4 linked regions of the Canis lupus familiaris genome follow. The protein of the gene in region 3 interacts with the protein of the main gene of each other region in a pairwise test. Links are inferred from orthologs where the notes say so. Each region holds a gene or a part of one and is shown on either strand. Other genes may lie near its edges.

What was found.
Region 1: the proteins of KRT40 (region 3) and JOSD1 interact in binary tests that used the Homo sapiens proteins (3 or more experiments, as listed by UniProt). The two-hybrid records come from large-scale screens. The link is inferred for Canis lupus familiaris from reciprocal best matches to the Homo sapiens genes KRT40 and JOSD1.
Region 2: the proteins of KRT40 (region 3) and DOCK2 interact in binary tests that used the Homo sapiens proteins (3 or more experiments, as listed by UniProt). The two-hybrid records come from large-scale screens. The link is inferred for Canis lupus familiaris from reciprocal best matches to the Homo sapiens genes KRT40 and DOCK2.
Region 4: the proteins of KRT40 (region 3) and CCDC120 interact in binary tests that used the Homo sapiens proteins (3 or more experiments, as listed by UniProt). The link is inferred for Canis lupus familiaris from reciprocal best matches to the Homo sapiens genes KRT40 and CCDC120.

Annotation. Positions count from the first base shown.
Region 1 is NC_049231.1:27,102,277-27,108,374, forward strand, and holds the start of JOSD1 (josephin-1), read left to right. Parts: upstream 1-2,261; 5' UTR 2,262-2,280; intron 2,281-2,570; 5' UTR 2,571-3,205; coding exon 3,206-3,390; intron 3,391-6,098.
Region 2 is NC_049225.1:43,065,128-43,071,265, reverse strand, and holds the start of DOCK2 (dedicator of cytokinesis protein 2), read left to right. Parts: upstream 1-2,301; 5' UTR 2,302-2,399; coding exon 2,400-2,442; intron 2,443-6,138. UniProt on the Homo sapiens protein: Involved in cytoskeletal rearrangements required for lymphocyte migration in response of chemokines. Activates RAC1 and RAC2, but not CDC42, by functioning as a guanine nucleotide exchange factor (GEF), which exchanges bound GDP for free GTP.
Region 3 is NC_049230.1:21,657,992-21,663,974, reverse strand, and holds the start of KRT40 (keratin, type I cytoskeletal 40), read right to left. Parts: upstream 4,145-5,983; 5' UTR 3,354-4,144; coding exon 2,907-3,353; intron 2,413-2,906; exon of another isoform or gene 2,410-2,412; coding exon 2,327-2,409; exon of another isoform or gene 2,068-2,326; coding exon 1,911-2,067; intron 1,196-1,910; exon of another isoform or gene 1,106-1,195; coding exon 944-1,105; intron 876-943; exon of another isoform or gene 865-875; coding exon 739-864; intron 588-738; exon of another isoform or gene 475-587; intron 1-474. UniProt on the Homo sapiens protein: May play a role in late hair differentiation.
Region 4 is NC_049260.1:42,404,643-42,410,653, forward strand, and holds the start of CCDC120 (coiled-coil domain-containing protein 120), read left to right. Parts: upstream 1-2,174; 5' UTR 2,175-2,489; intron 2,490-6,011. UniProt on the Homo sapiens protein: Centriolar protein required for centriole subdistal appendage assembly and microtubule anchoring in interphase cells. Together with CCDC68, cooperate with subdistal appendage components ODF2, NIN and CEP170 for hierarchical subdistal appendage assembly.

The DNA.
Region 1 (6,098 bases), on a different chromosome or scaffold from region 3:
CAGCTTCCGGCTCCCCGCAGGGAGCCTGCTTCTCCCTCTGCCTATGTCTGTGCTTCTCGCTATCGCTCATGAATAAATGAATTAAATCATTTTTTTTTTTAAAGAGCAGCCATTGAGATGGTAACATATCCAAGAATTAGAGTTTGGAACACAGGATTTGATAAGAGTTAGAGTTCAAAATGGCCTTCAGTTTCAGGGATCCACCTGAAAAAAAAAAAAAAAAAACTCTGCTTGCTCCTGTTAACAACTACAAATCTCTCTCTCTTTTTTATGATCAAGTCTTATGTACACCAGCACAGCTGGGAATCTGGGACAAAAAGTCATTCAACTCCAAAGGTCTTGATAAGATCTCCTCGAATGCATTTTTTCCCTTTCCTTTTTTTTTTTTTAAGATTTTATTTATTTATTCATAGAGACACACACAGAGAGAGAGAGAGAGAGAGAGAGAGAGAGAGAGAGAGGCAGAGACACAGGCAGAGGGAGAAGCAGGCTCCATGCAGGGAGCCCGACATGGGACTCGATTCCAGGTCTCCAGGATCACACCCTGGGCCGAAGGCGGCGCTAAACCGCTGAGCCACTGGGTCTGCCCCCTTTTCTGACTAAATCGCTCACCACTATCCTATATATCCCTCTATGAGATACTTAAAAAACATTAAAATCTTGATTTGGCAGAAAAGCCAAATATCAAGCTTTAGTCCTCTAGAATAATTGGTATTTACCATATGACCAACTGGCTCTTCCAGAAAGAGCTCAAGTACAGTATGTGCTGACACCTATCGGTAGACTAAAAAACATGTCCTCACTATAGGACTAGTTCACAAAACATACTCTCAAGAGTAGGTACTTCTTGAACAGAGAAATCTTAAAATTACATCTTGAGAAAGAAATTCCCTTCCCATTTTTACAACCTCTTTCCGAAGACAAGTTAGATCTCAGGTTCAAATCCTGAGTCTACTACTTCGTAGCTGTGTGACCTCAAACAAGATAATTAACCACTCTGAGCTTCAGTTGTCTCCTCTGGGGGAAAAAAAAAAGGCAGCAGCTATCTCAAGGCAGTTAGCAGGAAATGAACAGTGTTTGCAAGCCTCCATTAACTAATCTTAGGAAAATATAACCGCAACCTTAGGTGGCTTACAAATTACAAAACTTTAAGATAATTCTAAAGTCTGGATTAGGGCAGGACTCCCAAGCGTGTGGTAAGCACTCAAGAGTGTGTTAAAGTGGTAACTGCGGTAAGTGTAATGGTCTTAGAGTCGAGTCCTAGCAAGGTTAGAGAAATGCCTGAATTATGTAATCTTACTGTTTTTCCTGAACAAAAAATCCCAAAGAAGGGCACCTAGGGTGGATGATGCCTCCCATGTGACCTAGAGGTAGGTAAAAGGGGGGGAAAGTCCCCGCGGGACCGGGTGTTTACCTTCCTGACACCCAAGATACCTTGAGAAAATCCAGAGTAAAGTTCTAAGTCAGCCACCGTGAGACCAGGGCGAGAGGACAGTGGTCTGTGGGTAGTGCACCGAAATTCGACACCAAGGCACTGAGACAGGACTCTCCACTCCGCCTGAAATGTGACTCCAGGCGAGGCACTTACCCTCAGCGCTCCCAGGGAAGTGCGAGGCGGCCGGGCCCGCTAACCAAGGCAGCTTACGCCCGACCGCACCAGTAAGTTTCTCTGAAATCACCTGGTGAACAGCGCGTTAGACAAACATAAAACGGCCAACGCAGGAGTAGCTAGTCCGGGTTCTGCAAAGCGCTCGGCTCGAGAAGCCCGGCCCACAGAAGGGAAAGGGTGGGGAGCCCGGCGAGGGCAGCCGCAGGCCGGGTCGCCGCCCCGGAACGGCGCCGACGCCCGGGGAAGGGTGGGGAGCGGCGGGCGGCGAGGCGAGACTCCCGCAGGCCGCCCCGCCCTACTCACACCCGGAAAGAACCGAACCCAGGAGCCAGGCACCAGCGCCATGGCCGGCTGCCGCCGCTGCGCCTCACGGCCCCACGGCCCCACGGCCGCACGCTCTCTCCGACCCCCGCCCACCAGGCCACCCAGCACCGCCCACACCCACTCAACGGACCCGCGGCAGCCCCGGCCTTAAAGCCGGCGCCGCCTGACGACAGGCTGACGTCATACGTGACGCCGTGGCGGGCGGGAGCGGAGACGGCACGGGAGGGCGTTTCCGGAGCACGCGCCCGGCGAGGGCCGCTGACGTCGGGCTCAGGTGCGCGCGCTTGCCCGCCCGCCCGAGCGCGGCCCAGGTGGCGGCCCGCAGCGCCAGGTGGCGGCCTGCAGAGGTGAGGGGCGACCCGCGGGGCGGGCGCGGGCGCGGGCGCGGGCGCGGCCGGGGGCGGCGGCGGGAGGGCGTGTCGCCTTGCACTCACGTGACGGGCGGGAAGGTTGGGGTGTGGGCGGTGAGGCGAGCGGGGTGGGCCCGACCCCACCCCCGAGGGCCTGCCCGCCGCTGCGGAGGACCTTCCCTCGGGCTGGGGCCGGACCCGCCCCGCCCCGCCACCTACCCCGCCGCCTGGTTGTCCGCGGCGGCCCGCGCGACCGCCGGAGCTGACCGCGGTTGTCTCCTCCGCAGGGCCGCGGCGAGAGGGTGAGAGTCCGCGCGTTCCGAGGGAGCCGTCCCCGCCTTGGCCCGCGCCCCGCGGGGCCCCGCCGCACCCGAGGGGATGGAGAGCGGTCCCCGAGGCCCCAGCGCTGCCCGCGATCCCACGCTGGCCGGCTCTCGCTAGCTGCTCGAATTGTGCGTTTTCCCACAACCTAGGCCTTGTCTCCTGAGTCAGTGGCGTTGCGATTCGAAAGAAATGGAAGAAAAGGAGCGATGTGAACAATTCTGCTCGGTCCTCCTGCATTGAGGCCTGGTTGGCATTTGCAGAGAGGAAGATACGGGAAGAAAATCGTGGGGTTTTTTTTTTGGCGGGGAGAGTGGGAGAAAGGAAACAAGGTTTTAGATTTTCTATGATTTTTTTTAAAATTCTGCACTTTGACAGTGGTGGCGAAATACACTAATCCAAAAGTGATCTTTCTATTGATGGAGGTGGATTTTTTTTTCCCTTTTGATTCCAACCTTTCTCCCCGTGACAAAGCATAAATCATGGACACCAAAAAATAAGGTGGACCTCAGGAATCCCGAAAGGACTGAGCAGCTTACATTCTTCCTCTGGAGGGAAGGGTGGTGTGTTTTTAGCCATCTCTGGAACCTAAAACGAAAACATGAGTTGCGTGCCATGGAAAGGAGACAAGGCCAAATCTGAATCTTTGGAGCTGCCCCAGGCAGCACCCCCACAAATCTACCATGAGAAACAGCGCAGGGAGCTTTGTGCCCTGCATGCCCTCAATAACGTCTTCCAGGACAGCAATGCCTTCACCCGGGAAACGCTGCAAGAGATTTTCCAGAGGTAGGGGACCCCTTATCCTTGGCATTTTTACACTTTTTGCTATTTCTGAATTCCGGGGGGAGGGGCAATGTCTCCGCTATATAAACCTTTAAACCAACAGGTATTATTAGGTAACTGTTGTTAGCAGGTACAGGGGATACAGAGATGAGAAAAATAATAATCAGTATCGTTGACTGAGCACTTACTATAGGCAAGGCACAGTGCTAAAAACCCTCAGTCGTGTCATCTGGTGTGATCCCCCAACAGTCCCATGGAATATGTGTTGCTTCTTTTCCATTTTATGGACATAGACTTCAGAGAAGCTCAGCAACTTGCTGGAGGCGACATAACAAGAGATAGAGCCAAGTTTTATTTCAGACTTGTATCTGTGCTGTTGACCAGGATGCTGTAATGCCTCTCAAGTCCTACCCCCAAGAGGTTATAGTCTAGAAGGGGAACAAGATCTGTGTACACTGGGTCATCTGTCGTCAGAGGTGGTTTGTTGCAGGTTTTATAAGGAAGGTGTTCCGCTATACATAGTGCTCAGCTTTTCCATAAGGCCATACTCTGGCCTTGGTGCATTTTATACATTATGCTTTGCTTTGTATAGCTTTTTCCAGCAGTTATTTTACCATCTCTATTTTACGGATGGAGCAACAGGCAGAAAAGCCAGATAGTTTGCCCAAATAGCTTTCAAGTAGCCAAGCTATGACTTGAAGCTGACTCTAGACCTCTTTCCCTTTCTACTTCATTCTGGATGGCTTTTTTTTTTTTTTTTTTTTTAAACCAACACTTTACTAAATGCTGCCTGACAGGTTAACAGAAGTTCAGTTTTTTCTCTCTCTACTTTGATGTTCTAAAATTCTTTTATCACAGGGTTTAAGAATTAGTTCTTTGGTGTCTGGATGGACATAGCAGCATGAGTGCTACTTCCTGAGTATCAGAAAGGCATGTCAGAGCAATTCTATCATCAGTACCCATTCAGCCTGCTAGTGAGTTGGGCCTGGATCTAAAGATACAGACTGTGGTTATAAGCTGTTTGTGGATAATTGCAAGATTCTTTCAGTTGTGTTTTTCCTGAATGAAAGAATGCTAAATATTTGCTAAACTCTCACATGGAACCAAAGTTCTATTCCTGGCTACTAAAGCTCTAGCAAATTTGTACTACGCTCTCCAGTTTCCTGTCAGCGCAAGGTAAAGGTTCATCTCAAAGTAATAGCAAACCAGTGCATAAGAAAATATCCTCTATTCTCACTCCAGAGGCTGAATTCTATGTATTTTGTATGGAAAGATTCAGCGTGGATAAATGGAAACAAAGAAGTATGAAAGGGATCAGAGGAAAGAGGAAAGGGAGAAGAGGTGAGGAAGAGAAGATGGAATTTTATAAACAAACATTTGCTAGCAGCCTGCTGTGTGCCAAGCCCTGCTAGGCACTGTAGAGAAAACAAGTTGAACAGGACTCAGCCGCTAAGTACATCCCAGAGCTCTACATTGACCAGACCTTGAGAATAAACTTAAGTGAAGTTAGAACCTTAGAATTTAGAGCTGTTTGAAAGGGAAAAGATGATCTCTTTGGATCATAATGGGAAGAATAGTAATGATGGCAGGTTAAACTAGATAATTTTAAATTCTCAGATACAAAGTTTTATGCTTTTTTGAAGATGAGGCTGATGAATGGTAGAAATGGGAGAAAAATTTTGATGAATGCTGTTTGTTGAAAGGAAGCTCATCCTAGCAGTCGAATTTTAGCCAGATTAAAAAGGAGAAATACAAAAGCAGGGTGGAGTTTTCAGTACAGTTGTGGATATGAGATGACTCATGTTTGGAATAGAAATGAGTAGGGATTTAGAAAAAACTAAAACCAATGGCCGGCAGCATGGGGACGGGGAAGAGAGGAATCAAGGTGGCAGAGTCTCAGTCCAAGAGTTGAACATAGTGATAACAACCATAGTGATGGCAGAAGAGGTCACTGGTTTGGAAAGGATCAGTTTTCAACATGTGAAATTGGAGAAAAGCTCAGAATCTGGGCAGGTGTCTTCGTGCACATTATACAGACTCGGATGTCTGATCTCGTACATCTCATCATATAGGAGTCAAATGATGTAGTAGTAGTTTTGCTGAGTTGTTTGGAAAATCCTCAGGCCTCAATCTATTTTCATAGACTCAACTCAATTGTTCAGTGATTAGATGTTCTTGCAGCAAGTATGCATCCCTCTTCCTCCAAAAAATAGCTGTTAAAATCTAAATAGATGAAAAGTAGGTTGGTCCCACTTGAAAAATCTAATGCAAGCTGGAAGAGACAAAGAGATTTTAGATTTTGGTGAACAACCAGCATTCTCTACCACAAAGAAGTCCAGCCTTCCCATTAAAAAGTCCCTGAGCAAGTGGAAGGTGGTGGTAAATTGCTCAAAGAGATGGAGTACTAACCTCTAGAGATTTAAATCATTTTGTCAAGGGCCAGGCAAACACAGCATCATCATTGCCAACACCTACAGAGTACATTGATGTGCCTGACTCTATGATCTGTGCTTTATATATATATATAATATATATGTATAATATATATATTAAATATGTATATTATATATATATTTATTTAAAGGTTTTATGTATTTATTCATGAGAGACAGAGAGAGGCAGAGACACAGGCAGAGAGAGAAGCAGGCTCCGTGCAGGGAGCCCGATGTGGGACTCGATCCTGGGACTCCAGGATCACGCCCTGGGCCAAA
Region 2 (6,138 bases), on a different chromosome or scaffold from region 3:
AAGTGCAGTGTAATCTCCCCCCAAATTTATTTTTCTCAATGCTAGACTTAATTACAAAAGAATATATTCAATTACCAATATAAAATTTTGAATTTTATCAATAAAATATGTGGAAATTTGTTATCTCTCTTGTTATATAATACCTAACATGTACCTATATGTACTACATAATATCCTTGATTTTACCTAAAGACTGAAATATTTACTATCTGATCCTTCACAGAAGAACCTCACCAACCTCTGATGTATAGTCTGATTTACAATAGTGCTGAAATCATTAAGTTTCATGGTTAACTTGGTGAGACTACAGACCTAATTATTCAATCAAGCACCCATCTAAGTGTTGCTGTGGAAGCATTTTGTAGATGTAATTAACATCTACAATCAGTTGACTTCAAGTAAGCAAAGGAGACTATTCTTGATAGTCTGAGTAGGACCAATCCAATCAGTTGGAAGGCCTTAAAAATGAATCTTCCTTGAAACAGAAGAAATTCCAGCTGTGTGGACAGCAGCTTCAGCTCCTGCCTGAGAAGGTCTAGCCTGCGCATCCTGATAGCCTGCCATATGGATTTGGGATGTGCCTAACCAGCCTCACATTCACATAAGCCAGTTCCTAGCAATACATATCTTAATGTTTATATATTTCTCCTACTGGTTCTGTTTCTTTGGGGGAATCCTGGCTGATTCAACTGCTCACTACAAAAGATTCTACCTAATCTGTGCTGCTACAAAACCATAAAGGAAATAACTTTAGATAAAATGAAGTTAATATTTTGCCATAGCTGACAGGCAGCTATGACATTGCCTAATCTATTTATATTGACACTCTAGTGTAAGGCAGAAAGGGGAAATGGGGGTTACTTTTTTTTAAAGATTTTATTTATTTATTAATGAGAGACACAGAGAAAGAGAGGCAGAGACACAGGCAGAGGGAGAAGCAGGCTTCCTGTAGGGAGCCTGATGCAAGACTTCATCCCAGGACCCTGGGATCACAATCTGAGCCAAAGGTAGATGCTCAACTACTGAGCCACCCAGGTGCCCCAGTGAGAGTTACGAATAAAGAAAATCCAGGAAGACTTTAATTCAGTCTTATCAATGTGGGTCAAAGAGACGTTTTTTGTTTCGTGCTAGCATCTGTTTCCAAAGCAAAAATGAGATTTTTCCAAAAAGTGTCTTGATTAGCCTAACTCTAGGACTCTTTTCTGGGGGCAACTGCTGTTGGCTCTCAGAGCACCTTTACCTCCTAACATTGTTGGTGAATCCTGTGCTTGTGTACAGAGGAGAGTTTTCTAGGGTTTTATCATATCTTCTTTCCTTTTTAAATATTTTATTTATTTATTTATTCATGAGAGACACAGAGAGAGAGGCAGAGACGTAGGCGGTGGGAGAAGCAGGCTCCCTGCAGGGAGCCTGATGTAGGACTCGATCCCAGGACTCCAGGATCACACCCTGAGCCAAACAAACGTAGTCGCTCAAGCACTGAGCCACCCAAGTGCCCCTTTTATCATATTTTCAAATGGGTCTATGGCACCAATAGGATAAAAGACTCAAATGACGTCCTCTGTAGGTGTATATTTAACTGTTATGTGTCGCCTGTTGTATACATTATCTCCTCTAATCCTCACAATAATCATATGAAGTACATACTAGTATCCCATTTTACAGTTGAAAACTGAATCTTAGGGCAGCCGGGTGGCTCAGCGGTTTGGCGCCGCCTTTGGCCCAGGGCCTGATCCTGGGGACCCAGGATGGAGTCCTGCGTCAGGCTGCCTGCACGGAGCCTGCTTCTCCCTCTGCCTCTGTGTGTGTGTGTGTGTGTGTGTGTGTGTGTGTGTGTGTCTCATGAATAAATAAATAAAATCTTAAAAAAAAAAAAGAAAACTGAATCTTAGAAAAAAGTGACATAGTTTGTCCTACTGGCATAGGCAATATAAGCAATAGAGTTTGGATTTGCAGTCAAATGCTCTACCACTGAGCTCTACTCTCTAAAGTGTGGATTTGAATTCACATCACATACCAAAGTTCCTGCTGGGTAGCTGTGGGAGAGAATTCTGTTCAGTCACTAAGCTGTTATCCCGGAACTTCTGCATTTGTGGTGGTGGCCTGGGTGGCCAAGTACCTGCTTAGCTTCTGCCCACTTGCCTGGGGAGGAACAAGTTGGAGGTGCCCCCCAAGTTTTGCTGGGGGCCTTCTGGCCTGCTAGCCACTAGCTTTCTAACATGCCCCAGCCCAATGGGAGGGAGGAAGAGGAGGAGCAGGGCACCCTGGGGAGAGGAGGGCGGGTCCTGAGAGGGAGTTTGAAAAGAGGAAGGAAGTGGGGCTCTGCGGAGCGCCTAGCCACCCCCTGGCTGCTTCCCCACAGGAGGACGCAAGGAGCCCGCAGCTCCCCTGGCCCAGCCATGGCCCCCTGGCGCAAAACTGACAAGGAGCGACACGGCGTGGGTAGGTGTGGGCAAGGGGTCCCCAGCAGGGGGAAGGTCAGGTGGCCTGAGATCCATGCACAGGAAGATGCTGAAGGAGCCTGCAGGGCGGCCACAGGCGGGGTACACTGACCCAAGGTCCTAGGGCTCAGTGACTTCCTCTGCTAGCTGCAGGGCCAGCTGGGCAGGGAGGAGGAGGCAGCGGGAGAGGAAAGTGGGCACGCTGCCCAGTTGGCTTTGCCCAGCCCATGCCCTCTCCCACTGGGCACAGATTGCTGTCTATCCCCCAACACTTCTGCATCCCCTAGGTGGTGGTTAGCCCAGTTGGCTCTGTGTGCCACAGTCCCAGTGTTTCAAGGAGTGGACTTCATCCCTCCATGTAGAGAGTTGGCCTCATAGAAGGAACACCCGCCCTCTCTGGCCTGGCCCAGCATGCCTTCTTCCACTCCTGTCCAAAAAGACACCCATCTGCCTGCTTCCCCTGTCTGTTTCTTCTGGGTCAGATGACTGCTTATTTGGTAGAGGCTCCAGAGAGCTGTACAGGCTTGTGGCGTGGGGTTGGAGAGCAGAGTCCTTCACTCAGCCTTGGAGAACCTCTGGGAAGAAAGGCTCCTTCCAGGTTATCCGGGGACATCCAAGAAGCCGGCCTCATCAGCTTCACCCATCTAAGCTCCCAGAAGCCTCTGCCTCAAGCTCAGGGGCGGAAGTGGTGGCTGGGGGAAGGGAAACTTCAGGTACTGGGACTACTAAGTGGCACCCGTGGTGCAGCCTCTGAAAACTCACTGTGGTTTTCAAATTTAAGTGTAAATTTGAAAACCACTGTATGGTTTCCTACACAGGCAGATACCAGACACCAACCCCAGAGAGGAGCATTGAACAGGTCAGAGGTTGGAGTACCCAGGCCCGGAGGGAGATTAGATACAGGGAGTCCCGAGGCCACTCCCAGGGAGAAATGCTTCCCTGGAGAGTTCAACATTTATCTCTTCACTTGCTGGGCTCTAGGCACTATGGAGTGTTTTAAAATAACGGTCCCCATCCAGAGAACAAATAATAATCTATATCCTTGAAGAGCTTCAGTTTCTTCATCTATAAAATGGGAAGTTTGAACTAAAACCACTAAGGACCATGTCTAACTTCACAGCTTCTCTAAGTCCAGCCCTATCAGCTGGGGGCATCAGGCTGAAATTCTTCTCAAGGGAAAATGGGAACTATTAAGTGGGACAGACCACTGTAGGCAGAGAGGCCAATGCAGTATAGGAGATGAAAGTGGGACATGAAGGGCATATCCAGGAAAGAAGACAGATGCTCCTTTTGCCTGAAAAGAATGATCGTACTTAAAGTAAGCTGGAGCCACATTTTGGAAGGGTATAAATGCCAGGCTAAGAAATTGAGACTTTTCCCACTTAGGCAATGGGGAGCCAAAGAGGGCTTCTGAGCAGGGAAGAGGCATGGACAGATTTGTGCTGAAGCCGGTGTGGAGGGAGGCTGAGTGAACAGAATGGCAAAGGTGCCTGGGTGGCAGATAGGAGACCGTATCGGTCCACAGTAAGTAGAGCAGTAAATTGCGGGAGATTTGAGCAGTGTGGAAGAGCCCTATCCTTCGTCCCAAGGGCTGCAGTGCATTCCTGCTGTGAAGGCCCTGTGCTATGCTGTGAAGATCATGGGCTCTGGTGCTAGACTGCCTGTTGTTGAATTCCAGCTTCTAACACTTTCCAGCCCTGTGACCTACACAAGCTACTTACTCCCTCCAGGCCTTAGTTTCCTTGTCTCCTTGTCTATATAATGGGGATAATAATAGCCCATGCCTCCCGGGTTGTTGTAGAAGTAAAGGAGTTCATTCACATAAAGTGCTTAGAATGACCATTATACAAAGCAGTCCTCACTAGATGTTATCAATTATTATTCTCAGACTTTGTCTTTTGCATAGGAGTTTAGTAGAGGACATGATACCATAGGATGGGACAGAGTTACAGGTTGGAGTAGGGGTCCCACCCTCTCTTGCAGAGGAAATCCAACCTATATGGTCAGGGATTAGGAACTCTGTTAGGCATTAGGCCTGAGGGCTTCTTGACCTGATGGTATAGCTGACATTTTTCATGCCTACTTATGAAAATTCTATTTCATAGGGAGTCAGAAGATCTATGACCCTCTAGGGAGCCAGACAGCACTAAGATAGGTGCCTACTTATCAAAGGGTGTCTCTTTTCTCTGCAGATAAATGCAGGACTCTTTCTTAGGCCTTCAGTAGATGGAAAGAAGAGGGAGTGTAATTTATGGTGGAATGGCGGACTGGAGTCATGGGACAGAAAGAACAGGGACCTAACATTAAGGAGTCTCGGTTATAGTTCTGACACCATCACTAGTTGCAGACAGATCTATGACAGATCTAGTTTTCTCATTGTAAGTCTAGGTATTAATATTTTTATATTTCAAGGTGTTCTTTTACAAAGAACATTTGAGATCATGAGTATGGGGGCTTGGAATAAGACAAAGAGAAACATAGAAAAGTTTAGTGGTTTATCAGAATATCTCTAGAGTCCAGCCAGGCCTAAAACACAAGAACCTGAGCTTTGCTTTCTTATTTGGTTTCCTCATCAGTGTTGGTGGCATTAGCCCGTTTTCGTCTGGTATAATTCACAAGGACTGCTCACGTCTCTGTCTTTTTGTCTCAGGGGCTGGCTTTACACGAGACAATTTCATCACCAGAAGCACTGGCTTCTTGCTCATCTTGTTGTCTGGTTGGCAGCCCCAGGAGACCTTCATAGAGATGCCTTGTCTGATTATTTTTCTTTCCTTGATGGAATCTTAATATGTGATCCGTTAGAATCCCAGAGAGTTCCAGAAGTGGAACAAAACAGTATGAATATGAAGTAAGAAAAGGCACAGACTGCCTTTGAAGAGATGTGTGAGGTTAGAAGCTTGGGCTGTGAAGTTAGAACTGATTTTAAATCTGGGCCTGTTTCCTCATCAATAAAGTGAGGTCTCATGATAATGTGGGTCTCATGAGGCTGTTGTAAAGATTGAATGGGGTAATCCATGAAAAGTACTTAGTAATGTGGTTGACTCAATCAAAGTTAGTGACTAAGGTAAGGGAGTTAACCTAATAGTTGTGGAGCCAAGAGAAACACAGAGTAATGCATCCTAATACCAGATTGAGGATGGTGATGCCTTCCAAGAGTGTAGTATTTTGTGGTTTACAAGACCCATTCTCATGCAATATCTTTGGCTCCAGAACATCTCTGTGAGGCATTATTTTCATTTTACAGATGAAGAAACCAAGACCCAGAGTTCATATAATTTAGAAGTACTTGGGCTTGGCCTTAAATTCAGTTGATTTCAGATCCCAGGTCCTTTGCACCATACAAGGAAGAAATCCAGGAGCAGGAGCATCACAGAAAAAGGCAGGATATTGGATATGTAGCATTTGGGTCAAACAATAAATATTCTGCTTTGGTTTTAGTAGATGTTTATAATGAAAACAAAGCAAAACAAAACAAAACTTTTGAGAGGTAGACTGCAGCCAGATGGTGAAAGGGGCTTTGAATGCCAGCCCTATAAGTTTGGACTTCATTCTGTGCACAGTGGAATTTTTGAGCAGGCATGTCACCTTTAAGAATTTAATATAATGAATTGTGAGAAGGGCAGGGATTGGACATAGAGGTACAAAAACAGAAGTAGGTGACAATTTACCTGTCTCCTAACTGCAGGAGTAGTTAACC
Region 3 (5,983 bases):
ATAAATATGTAGCTATTATTCACCCAGATAGTCTCTATAGGCCCCAATGTGGCACAGACAGTGGTGTCTGACTGGAACTGGCTAATGTGATCTTCAATGCATGGTATCCTTTTTAAAAAAATTTTTTTTTAAAATAACCTCTATGCCCAGCATGGGGCTTGAACTCATGATCCTGAGATCAAGAGTCACATGCTCCTCTGACTGAGCCAGCCAGGCTCCCCAGTGCATAGTATTTTCATTGCTGGGTGAAATGGGGTGGAGTGAAGGGTCCAGTTGAGGTGTGGATCCTGGAAAAGCTTAGGGTAGTGGAAGAATGCAAAGTTTGAATATTATTCTTTTATATGATGCTGAGTTTGAGAAGTTGGCCCAAATCAAAGCACAATTAAAACCCACTGGAATGCTTCAGTGCCTTCAGCTCAGAGGTTCCACTCTCATTCTGCTCCTGCCCTCCTGTTCTTTTTCTGTCTCTGGAAGGTGCTGCAGGATCATGCTCAAGCCCAGGAGGGAAGGTCAGGGAATCCTGTTGGGACAGTACAGACTGTTGACCTATCACTTCTGCTTCTAGCTCAGTAAACAGCAGTATTTGGGTAAGTCAAAGAATACAATCCTTGCATATTGGAAATTCAGACTTTCTGCCACATGAACTGTGGATCTCTCCTTGGGTTCATGGAAGAGGGACTAGCATCTCAGGGCTTAATTCTTCAGTGACAAAAACAGAGCTGTCTTTCCCTTACATACCAGGCTTTGCTGTGCTTGGAGCTCAATTTCCAGAGCATTGGCTGTGCGTTTCAGTTCCAGGATCTCTGTCTGGCAGTCTTGCAGCTGCTCTGCGCTGCACAGCTGCTGCTGATTCAGCTCCTCTGTCTGTAAACCAGGTATGATTAGAGGATGCAAATAAGGCAGAAGTCTGGAAGCTTGTCATTTTCTTGCTCTGGGTACTGACCTGAACAGCAAACCATTCTTCCACGTCTCTACGGTTGTTGGCCAGCACGGTTTCATACTGACAACGCATCTCTTCCAGGACCCTGTTGAGGTCGATGGTGGGGGCAGTGTCCAGCTCTACACTGAGTCGGTCACCCAACTGTCCACGAAGCAAGTCAACCTCCTGAAAGAGGAAATGGAGTAAAGAAAGTCACAGAGTGGTGGGGAAGAAGAATTCACCTTGACATCCCAAGAGCATCCAATTTCTGGAGAAGTGAGTAAAAGTGTGGGATTTAGATTCAGATTGCTTAGGTTGACTCTCTTTTCATCATTCAGTCTCTGCATCCACAAAAGGTGTATAATAATTTTACCTTTCCTAGAGAGTTATTGTGAGAGATATGAGTTGATGTTCATATAAAGCACTTATGAAAGTCCTTGGCACATAGGAAGGTCTCAATAAATGCTATTATCATCAACACATGCTCAAAGGGAAAATATACCATTTTACATCATTAAGTTTTTCACTTTTTAGCTTTATCAACATGAGATAGTCATATACTTCGTATTTTATGATTTAGAAAGTTTATAGATGTAGAATATTTTAAAATATTGGTCCAAATATTGCATAAGATGTTATCCCCTTTCTGAAATGGCCTTCATGCCCTGTGTTTATCAGCCTGATTTTTGTAGCTTATGGATTAGAGTTATGTGGCATAAAGCCTCCAAGGAAAGCCATTTGTAAAGTTACCTCCTTCACGAAAGCAATAGCAGGTGAACAATTTGGTCTTTCAAGTGGTACTAGCCAGGGCCCATTTCACATATACACCCAGAGATATGCCAGAGTCATCAGGCTGGACATTAGTGCCTCGAGTAATTTTGTTCCAGCTTTAGCAATATCTGCCCGAGTTTGATTTATATACACAAAACGAAATCTATCAGTTTGACTTTGTCACCTCCACATTCATTCAGCAATTTTACACTTTCCTTACCTCTTTGTGGTTTTTCTTAAGGCAAAGGAGATCTTCCTTCAGAGACTCCACATGGGCCTCCAGATCAGCTTTGCACAGAGTCAGCTCATCCAGGATCCCACGCAGGCCACCAATGTCCGTCTCTATCAGCTGGCGAAGAGACAGTTCAGACTCATACCTTTCACAGCAAAAGAGATACAGATGGTGCTTATTTTGCTAGACACTGTGCAAGATGCTGGGCATGCTGATGAATGACACAACGACTCAAGGAAGCTATATCCCAATTAATGTGAGCTTTGTGAGCATTCTTAGCTTAAAAAAAGCTTATGTAGAGAATATTTGTAGTGTGCACGTGTGTGTGTGTGTGTGTGTGTGTGTGTGAGAGAGAGAGAGAGAGAGACAGCCATGAATTATTTTCAAATTCAAATTTAACTTACTTTGACCTAAAGTCATCAGCAGCCAGTTTGCAGTTGTCAAGTTGCACAGCAAGTCTGGAATTTTCTGCCTTCGTGCATAAGATCTGGTAAGTAAGTTAGTTATATATACTAGAGGGCTCTTTGAAAGAAACTTAAATATTTATTCATTTAACAACTATACCATTATTTATCTTTTAAAAGTCTTTATAAGACAGTATAAAATAGCTTGAAGCCTATTTTTCTTATTAAGCATGTCACTTCAATGAAGAAAAAAGCAGGACCATTCATAAAATAAATATAGAAATAAAAAGGGTCCGTTTTTCAGTGGCCTAAAACATTTTGCAATATTCCTTGGCAGTTGAACTTGGATTTTTCTCCATAGGTAGTTGTGAGTGAGTTTATTTTGGCCATTCAATGATTACTGGCAGCCCCACGGCTCATGCTAATTTTTGCTGAATTTCAGCCCACCACCTTTTCCTCCTGGAGAACCCCTTTCCCTGGGGATGGGGGGAACTTCCATAGAACAGCCTTTTTTTTAGTATAAAGATAAAGCAAATCACAGATTGGGAGGGTGAAGCATTAGGGCAATGAAACACCAGACCTTTTGCTGAAGCTCTTCAATAGTGTCAAAGTAACACTGATAATCAGGGCACACCAGTGGGATATCCTCTTCACATTGTTCTCGAATCCTGCATTCGAGCTCTGCGTTCATCTCTTCCAGGCCACGGACCTTCTCTAGATAGTTGGCAAGTCTGTCATTCAGGAACTGCATCGTCTCCTTCTCATTGCTGTTGAACACCCCATCCTCACACCAAGCACAGTTCCCCACCAAGCAAGGAATATTATAATTCCCAGCAAAGTAGCATGGTGTGAGGCAACTAGTTGGCAAGCGAGACCTGGATAGGAAGCTAGGGGTCTGGCATCTGGATGTAGCAGGGGCACTGGGGAGGCAGGTGGCCTCCATGGAACAGGTTGAAGCAAGTGCACAGTCGGAAGCCTGGGCACAGGATTCAGAAGAGCAGCACGTGGGGAAACAGTCAGAAGTCATCCTATTAGAAGTGAAGAACAAGACTAGTTGCAAAACTCCAATTGACTGGTTCCCAGAGTCTCCATCCCTCCTGAGACTTTTATACAGCCTGCAAATGGGTATTTACAGAACATACCGGATGTTCTGTTTATCACTGTTGGTGCCAGTTTTCATATGAACATTCATTAGTGTTGTTTGTTTTCTGAGGAAGTTTTATGCCTCATAAAAGAGGCATAGCTTCAGGTTACTAAGTAAGGGCAATATTTCCATCTGCCAGTAGGATAAGACGCTTGGTTCAGAGAATCTTCATGAGATGCATTATCTTTTTGGTAGAATACAGAAAGGCAGAGGACATTTGGCACTCAGTAATTGCAGATACAACTGATTACAAATAACAAAAATGATATTATCACAGATTTTGCTCCTGTATTGTAAATTGTTTATCTATCCTTTTAAAATTCATATTACATCTCATTAAATGCCATTTATTTGTTTGTGTACCATCATAAAATGTTCCATGTAGTTAACCATCTTTGCAATGCTTTTTATGGTCTTGTTGTGCTCACATGGTAGAGGAGTGAGGTGTGTACTGGGTTTAAAGTGTGTGTGCACATGCATATGTGTGTGTGTGTGTGTGTGTGTATGAACTACATCTACCTGTGTGCAAATTGAAAAGTCACTTTATAAATAACTGATGGGCATAATCTGTGGCCTGCAGGCCAAAATACAAACTGGTTATCAAGATCTGGAGTTGTGATCTTTGATTTCCTGAAACTTGCTTTCTCTATGTTACCTATGCCTCATTTTTAGATTATGTATACTATTTTCACCTGTATTAATAATAAGAGTGAAATACAATTTCTAAGTTACAATCTTTTAGTTTCTTGGGAAACTAAACCCTCATTGGATACAGTTCAGAATAGGGGCAAGGAAGCTATAAAAGACTTTTCTTCTGAGATAGAATCTGTTTTCTCTTATTTACTTATTTTTTTAAGGTCACAATTTCATAAAAATGTGAAATACTGGCGTTGGGGAATAAAATTTTATAATTTGAGTTCCAGACCAGGAGTTCCATTGGATGAAATCCCTGGTGCAGTACCAAATGGATAGCGATTTGAGACATAACTTTTTTGGATTTTGTTTTGAATTTCATCTCTATTATGTATGTAGCATAATCTCTTTCACTTTCCTTGGCATAATTGTGGTATGTATTTCATTTTCAAAGGTGGGCAGAACAGATTGCCTCTAGAATCTTTAAGATTTTTACTGGAAAAGGCCCACTATTCTGACAAAGTTAAAATTTTCATGATCCAGAAAAAACTAAAAATTTTTTTCTAACTCTGAACACTACTTCCTAGGTAGCTGATGATGGAAAAACCAAAACCAAAAACAAACCAAGAGGTCTTAAATAGATGGACTTAAATAGTCCCTTAGTATGTATTACTCTCCCATCTAAATACTAACCGGGCCTGACCCTGCTTAGCTTCCAAGATCAGATAGGATTGGAACACTTTCAGGGTGGTATGGTTGTAGACTCTTGGGTTTGATTTTAGTGATTCTCTTCACATTTCAACACTTAATGCTAAATGTTCTTTTTTTATCTTTCAAGATTTTATTTAAATTCAAGTTAGTTTACATATAGTGTAGTATTAGTTTCAGGGGTAGAATTTAGAATTTAGTGATTCATCAGTTGCATACAACAACCAGTGCTCATACCATCACTTGCCCTCCTTAATACCCATCACCCAGTTACCTCATCCCCCCACCCACTTCCCCTCCAGCAACCCCCAGTTTGTTACCTATGTTTAAGAGTCTCTTATGGTTTGCCTCCCTCTCTGTCTTTGTCTTATTTTATTTTCCCTCTCCCTTCCCCATGTTCATCTGTTTTGTCTCTTAAATTCCATATGAGTGAAATCATATGGTATTTGTCTTTCTCTGACTGACTTATTTTGCTTAGCATAACACCACCCATGCCATTGTTGCAAATGGCAAGATTTCATTCTTTCTGATGGCTGATTAATATTTCATTATATGTAATGGAATATTATATATATATATATATATATATATATCACATCTTTATCCATTCATCAGTTGTTGGACATTGGGGCTCTTTCTATGTTTTAGCTATTGTGGATTGTGCTGCTATAAACATTGGGGTGCATGTGCCCCTTCGAATCACTATTTTTGTATCCTCTGGGTAAATATCTAGTAATGCAACTGTTGGGTGGTAAGGCAGTTCTATTTTTAACTTTTTGAGGAACTTCTATACTGTTTCCCAGAGTGGCTGCACCAGCTTGCATATCCACCAACAGTGTGTGAGGGTTTCCCTTTCTCTGCATCCTCACCAACATCTGTTGTTTCCAAGTTGTTAATTTTAGCCATTCTGACCAGTGTGAGTTGGTATGTCATTGTGTTTTTTTTTTATAAATTTATTTTCTCATTGTGGTTTTGATTTGTAGTTCCCTGATGATGCATGATGTTGAAGATTTTTTTAAAGATTTTATTTATTTATTCATGAGACACACACACACACACAGAGGAGAGAGAGAGAGAGAGAGAGAGTCAGAGACACAGGCAGAGGGAGAAGCAGGCTCCATGCAGGGAGCCCAACGTGGGACTCGATCCCAGGTCTCCAGGATCATGCCCTG
Region 4 (6,011 bases), on a different chromosome or scaffold from region 3:
TGGATTTCAAAATTACCTGGGACCGGGACACTTGGGTGGCTCAGCAGTTAAGCTCCGGCCTTCTGCTCAGGGTGTGATCCTGGAGTCCTGGGATCGAGTCCCACATCAGGCTCCCTGAATAGAGCCTGCTTCTCCTTCTGCCTATGTCTTGGCTTCTCTCTCTCTCTCTCTCTCTCTGTGACTCTCATGGATAAATAAATAAAGTCTTTTTAAAAATTACTTGGGACCAATGACACCTTTTTTCCTTCCATTTTTCCCCTTTGGAATGGGAATGTCTGTAAGTCTTATCCTATATCTGTCCCATCGCTGTATTTTGGGAAAAGATAATTTGTTTCCTAGTTTCACAGGTTGGGAGATGGAAAGGAATTTTGCCTCAGGTTGGATCATACTCAGAGTATCATTTATACCTGACTTAGATGATGAGATTTGGAACCTTTGAGCTGATGACACCAAAGTGAGATTTTGAAGTTGAGTTGATACTGTAATGGATGAAACTATTAGGGGTATTGGGATAAGGTACATGTATTTTGCATGTGGGATAGATGTGTATCTTTGAGGGTATACTGTTGTAGGGTGAATGATGCCCCCAAAAGATATGCACATCCTAATTCCTTGAACATGTGAGAGTACCTTAGATGGCAAAAAAGAAAAGAAAAAGAAAAAGGAAAAGGACTTTGCAGTTTGCAGATGTAATTAAGGTAAAGATTTTGAGATGGGAGATTATCCTACATTATCAAGGAGACCCTAATTGTACTAACAAGTGTCCTTAGAAGAGGAAAGCAGAGGCAGACTTCACAGACAGAATGCATGGCAATGCAACCAAAGAAACAGATTGTAGTGATGTGGCTACAAGCCATGGAATGCAGACAGTCACCAGAGTAGGGAGAGGTGACAGACAAATAGATTCTCCCCTAGAGCCTCTGGAGGGAGTATGGCCCTGCTGGCACCTTGATTTTAGTCTTCTGGCCCCCAGAGAGTGTGAGAGAACACATTTCTTAGATAGTTAGCCACCAAGTTTGTGAAAATTCATCACAGCAGCCACAGGAAGCTAACGTAGATGGCTTGGGATAGATTTGGTGGTTGTTGGAGGGATGATTGCTTGGGGGTTATCAAAGAGAGTGTGAGGGTATAATTAGGAGCCATTGGAAAGTGTTTGGGTACTGTTGGAACAATCAAAGGAAAGACCAAGGGGTTTGGTGGGTCACTGGAAGGTGGTTTGGAGGTGTCGTTGGGAGACTGGGAAGATAAAGGGGGAATGTCTACAGATAACATGGGGACTATTAAGACAGTTTAGGGTGTAGTTGGGAGTTTTTGGAGGGTGGTCTGGGAGGTATGGAAAAAATGGAAGATGTTTTGTGGGTATAGTTGCATGTAATTTAAGACAAAGTTCAGGGGGTGATCCTGGGGTCCTGGGATCAAGTCCCTCATTGGGCTCCCTGTGAGGAGCCTGCTTCTCCCTCTGCCTCTGTCTGTGCCTCTCTCTGTGTGTCTCTCATGAACAAATAAATAAAAATCTTAAAAAAAAAGACAAGGTTGGGTATAGTGGTCATTGAAGAGTGGTTTGGAGGTATAGTTTTGGGCTGCAGAGTATGGTTAGGAGGGGACATGGAGACTGATTCGGGGTCCATGGGGTTGTTTTCGGTGTGTACTGGGGATAGATGGAAGAGTGATTTGGAAGTGCTCTTTGGAGGTTGATGGTTTCAGGGCTGATTGCAGACAGTTTAGGGGAACGAGTTGGGGGTAGTGAAGGGTAGTTTATTCTCACAGTTTGGGAGTCCACGGAGGGTGGATTGGGGGCATTGCTTGGGATCAATAAACAATAGTTTGGGGATACAGTTGGGGGAATGATGGAGGGTGGTTTGGGGGACACAGAAGTTTAGAGGAGAGTTTAGAGACGTGGTGGTGGCCCAAAAAGGCAGTTTCGGGTACTGCTTGGGGGTTTGCGGGTGGGGGGGGTGGGAGGACGACTCCGGGTGAGGGGCAGCCGGCGGATCACTGGGGGGGCGTGGCCTCGGCGGGGGAGCGCTCCACCGCCCTCGAGGAAGCGTGTGCGCACGCGCTCCCAGCTGGTTCGCTCCTGGCGCTCCGAGGGCAGGAAAATCGAAGACCCAAACTGGCGCCTGCGCACTAGGTCTCCGCCGCTGCTGTGGTCTCGCGCCCCGCCCCCCGTCCCCCCACCTCTCCCCAGGCTCGCGCTCAGCCACGGCTGTGTCGGTGCAGCTGGGAGCAGACGCACCCGAGGTGAGGGTGGGGGGGGTCCGGGGTCCACCGACCGCGGCCGAGCCGGCGCGCCTCTCCCACCCTCCCCGCACCTCCAGTCTGGCCCCCACGGCTGACATTTGCGCGGCCAAAAGCGGCCCACGGGCAGGGCGCGGAAAGGGAGTAGGCGCGAGGCCGGGGACGAGCGGGCGGCGGCGAGGGAGGGGCGCAACCCAGCCCCCTTCCTGGCCCACAGCGACCCCGCCTACGTCGCGGGACGAGGACCCTCGGTGAGTAACGCCCGCCTGGAGAAGAAGGGAGGAGACAGGGCGGGGTGAGGGCCCGGAAACGCCAACAGAGAATGTACCTGCGCGCGCACCCGCGACCTCTGACCCTGTGGTCGCACTCCCGACCCCTACCTGACCTGACTACACCGTTTTTAACCCCGAGCTCTGGCCAGTCTTGGCCCCAGGACCTCCGATCTGACCCCCCACCTAACCATATTTTGGCCTGGCGTGATCCGCAATCCCTGTTTTGTTCCCCCAAACCCAGTCCTGACCCCAAACTCCACCCGGTTCTGTTCTCAGGATCCTTGGCCTGACCCTGTTCCATCTCTGAAGCCTATCTTGCCTTGTCCCGACCATCCCAGTTTCTGGCCTGTGCCCCAAACTCTTGTCCAGCCCCTGAACCCCTTCCAGTCATGTCCTGTCCCCCTAACCGCAGTCTGATCCAGGTCTGTCTGGATTCCTGACCTCTGATTTCTAAACTTTCTCCCTCCCCCCAGTACTATCCTCCTGGTCCCCTCCTGACTCCCCATCTCCAACCTGGCCCACCCCCTTTAGACCATCCCTCTGTTTCCTGCCCTGTCTCTGCCCCCAGCCCCGTGCTGTTTTCCCCTGACTTCTCTTGTCCCATCACTGTCCTCATTCCTATCCTTATTCTGTTCCAGTCTTTTCCTGTTCCTTACTTCCATCCTGAACCTGCCCTTTTCCCTATCCCCTTCCTTGAGCACTGTCTTGGCCAGTCATCATCATTTCTGAGAGCTATCCTATACTAACCCTGCCCTGCTCTTTTGTTCTTTGCTGCCCCCTACTTTTTCTCTGACCCTTGTCCTGAACCTCACTCCATCTCACCCCCTGGCCAGTGTCTTGGCTCCTTCTCTGTCCTGCCTCCTGACCTCCATCCTACAATGACTCCGATTCTCTCTTGCCCTCTGTGCTCCTTCCTGTTCTCTTTCTTCATCCTCTCCCAACCTGAAGCCCCCATCCTATCCCTTACCATGCCCCTCCACTCCAGTCAGATCTCCCTCTTCCTAACACCCATTTTCCATCTCATCTGAGCCCAGAAGAACTGAGTCCTGTTATACCCTGCCCCTGAACTCAGAGGTTCCAATGTTCCCATTATCTCGGGTTCATCCCAAATGCCTCTCAGCATGAACAAGAGCAAGAAGCCTTGTGGGCCCTGTGTGGCTTAAGGAGGTTTTCGTTTGTGATGTCCTTCACCCCCACCCAGTGATCTCACGCAGAGCTTGCATTTGTCTGCCTGCCCCAGGGGGGCATGGAACTGTTCCTACACCCCCCACCCTCCCCAAGTGTGAAAGAACACCCTAAATTATTCAGTGACTCTCTGGGAGTCTGAGATCTGGATCATGTTTCCAGCCTGGCTAGGTTGGGGGCTGCCCCATGTCAAGGTGGGGGGTGTGGTGAGCAAACATGCAGGAGTGGGGAACACAGGGGTATGTGGGAACCTTCCATGTCATGTTACCCCTATCTCCTAGTCCTGAACCTAGGTGTACATGATCTCTGCTTTCCTGGCCTGAAAAAGTCCATTCCAAGCCAGAGGCTTGGTAGGGGTGAGATGGGGATGGGGCGTTCTATCCCCCTTCTCTCAATTGTAAGCAATACAAATGGCAGTGCTAAGTCCATCCCACCTCTGTGGGGCAGGTGTGTGTGTGTGTGTGTGTGTTTGTGTCACTGAGTGTTAGATTCAGTCCTATCCAGTAGTGACAATAACAATAAAAGCAATACAAGATTCTCGATTCTCTCACTGAATCTTCTTGATTCTGAGGACAGGCAAGGAGAATTTGGATAGTGAGAAGGTAACATGTTATTCAGTTCTGTTTTGTTCCTGCATTTGTCATAGAGAGTAGTGAGAACTTGAATAACAAGATATTTGACCCATGTCATTTATCTAAAACATTTATCCAAACCTATTTTTTAAAAGATTTTATTCATGAGAGACACAGAAGCAGAGACATAGGCAGAGGGAGGAGCAGGTTCCCTGGAGGGGAGCCTGATGCGGGACTTGATCCCAGGACCCCGGGATCACAACCTGAACTGAAGGCAGATGCTCAACCACTGAGCCATTCAGGTGTCCCAAACCTAATTTTTTTTTAAGTAGGCTCCACACCCAGCATGGAGCCCAACATGGGGCTTGAACTCACAATCCTGAGAGATCAAGACCTGAGTTAAGATCAAGAGTCAGGGATCCCTGGGTGGTGCAGCGGTTTAGCGCCTGCCTTTGGCCCAGGGCGCGATCCTGGAGACCCGGCATCGAATCCCACGTCGGGCTCCCGGTGCATGGAGCCTGCTTCTCCCTCTGCCTATGTCTCTGCCTCTCTCTCTCTCTCTCTCTGTGACTATCATAAATAAATAAAAATTTAAAAAAACATTTAAAAATAAATAAAGGAGGGTCTGAGGGTCAGGGATGGGCTGAATTAAAAAAGATCAAGAGTCAGATGCTTAACTGTCTGAGCCACCCAGGTGCCTCTACCCGAACCTATTAATAACAACACAAGTGTCCTTCATTGTTCTGATGTTTGTTTGGCACCTGACTTCTGAGAGGGAGAGCTTGGATAATTCCAACAGTGAAAGATACCAAGTTACCTGGAGGTTTTTTGCTTTTGCATTTTACATAGTGAGTGGGGAGGGTTCAGATAATGAGGGATAACGACTCCAACTAAAAAATATATTCAAATTGATTCATCTCCCTGAGCTCCAGTGGCAAGAGTTGGGATAGTAAGAGTACTGTGTTGTGTGAATATATTTGGCTCCTGCATTTTGTCCGGTGAGGGAAAGCTCAGAGAGTGGGGGATAGCGGTTCTACCTCAGGTGTATCCAAATCCTTTCAGTTCCTGTATATGGATAGTAAGCATTTGGAGAATTTACCTGAATATGTTTGGTTCCTGAATTTTTTTAATGTTTTTTTAAAATTATTTATGATAGTCACACACACAGAGAAAGATAGAGAGAGGCAGAGACACAGGCAGAGGGAGAAGCAGGCTCCATGCACCGGGAGCCCGACGTGGGATTCGATCCCGGGTCTCCAGGATCGCACCCTGGGCCAAAGGCAGGCGCCAAACTGCTGCGCCACCCAGGGATCCCGGTTCCTGAATTTTTTTTAAAATTTTTTTTCATTTATTTATGATAGTCACACACAGAGAGAGAGGCAGAGACATAGGCAGAGGGAGAAGCAGGCTCCATGCACCGGGAGCCTGACGTGGGATTCGATCCCCGGTCTCCAGGATCGCGCCCTGGGCCAAAGGCAGGCGCTAAACCACTGCGCCACCCAGGGATCCCTGGTTCCTGAATTTTTGATGTTGAGTAGCAAGAGGTCTGATAATGATAGAAATCAGCTCTGTTTCAAATATGTCTGTTTTAATCATTGGGGAAGGTTCGGTATCTAGATAGCAAGTAGGGAGGGTTTGGAGGCTGAAGCATACCAGCTTGGTCTTAGCAGTACATCTGAATACATTGAGTTCTTTTCTTTGGATAGTGAGAGATTGGAAAAATTTATTTCAGAGAAAAACAACT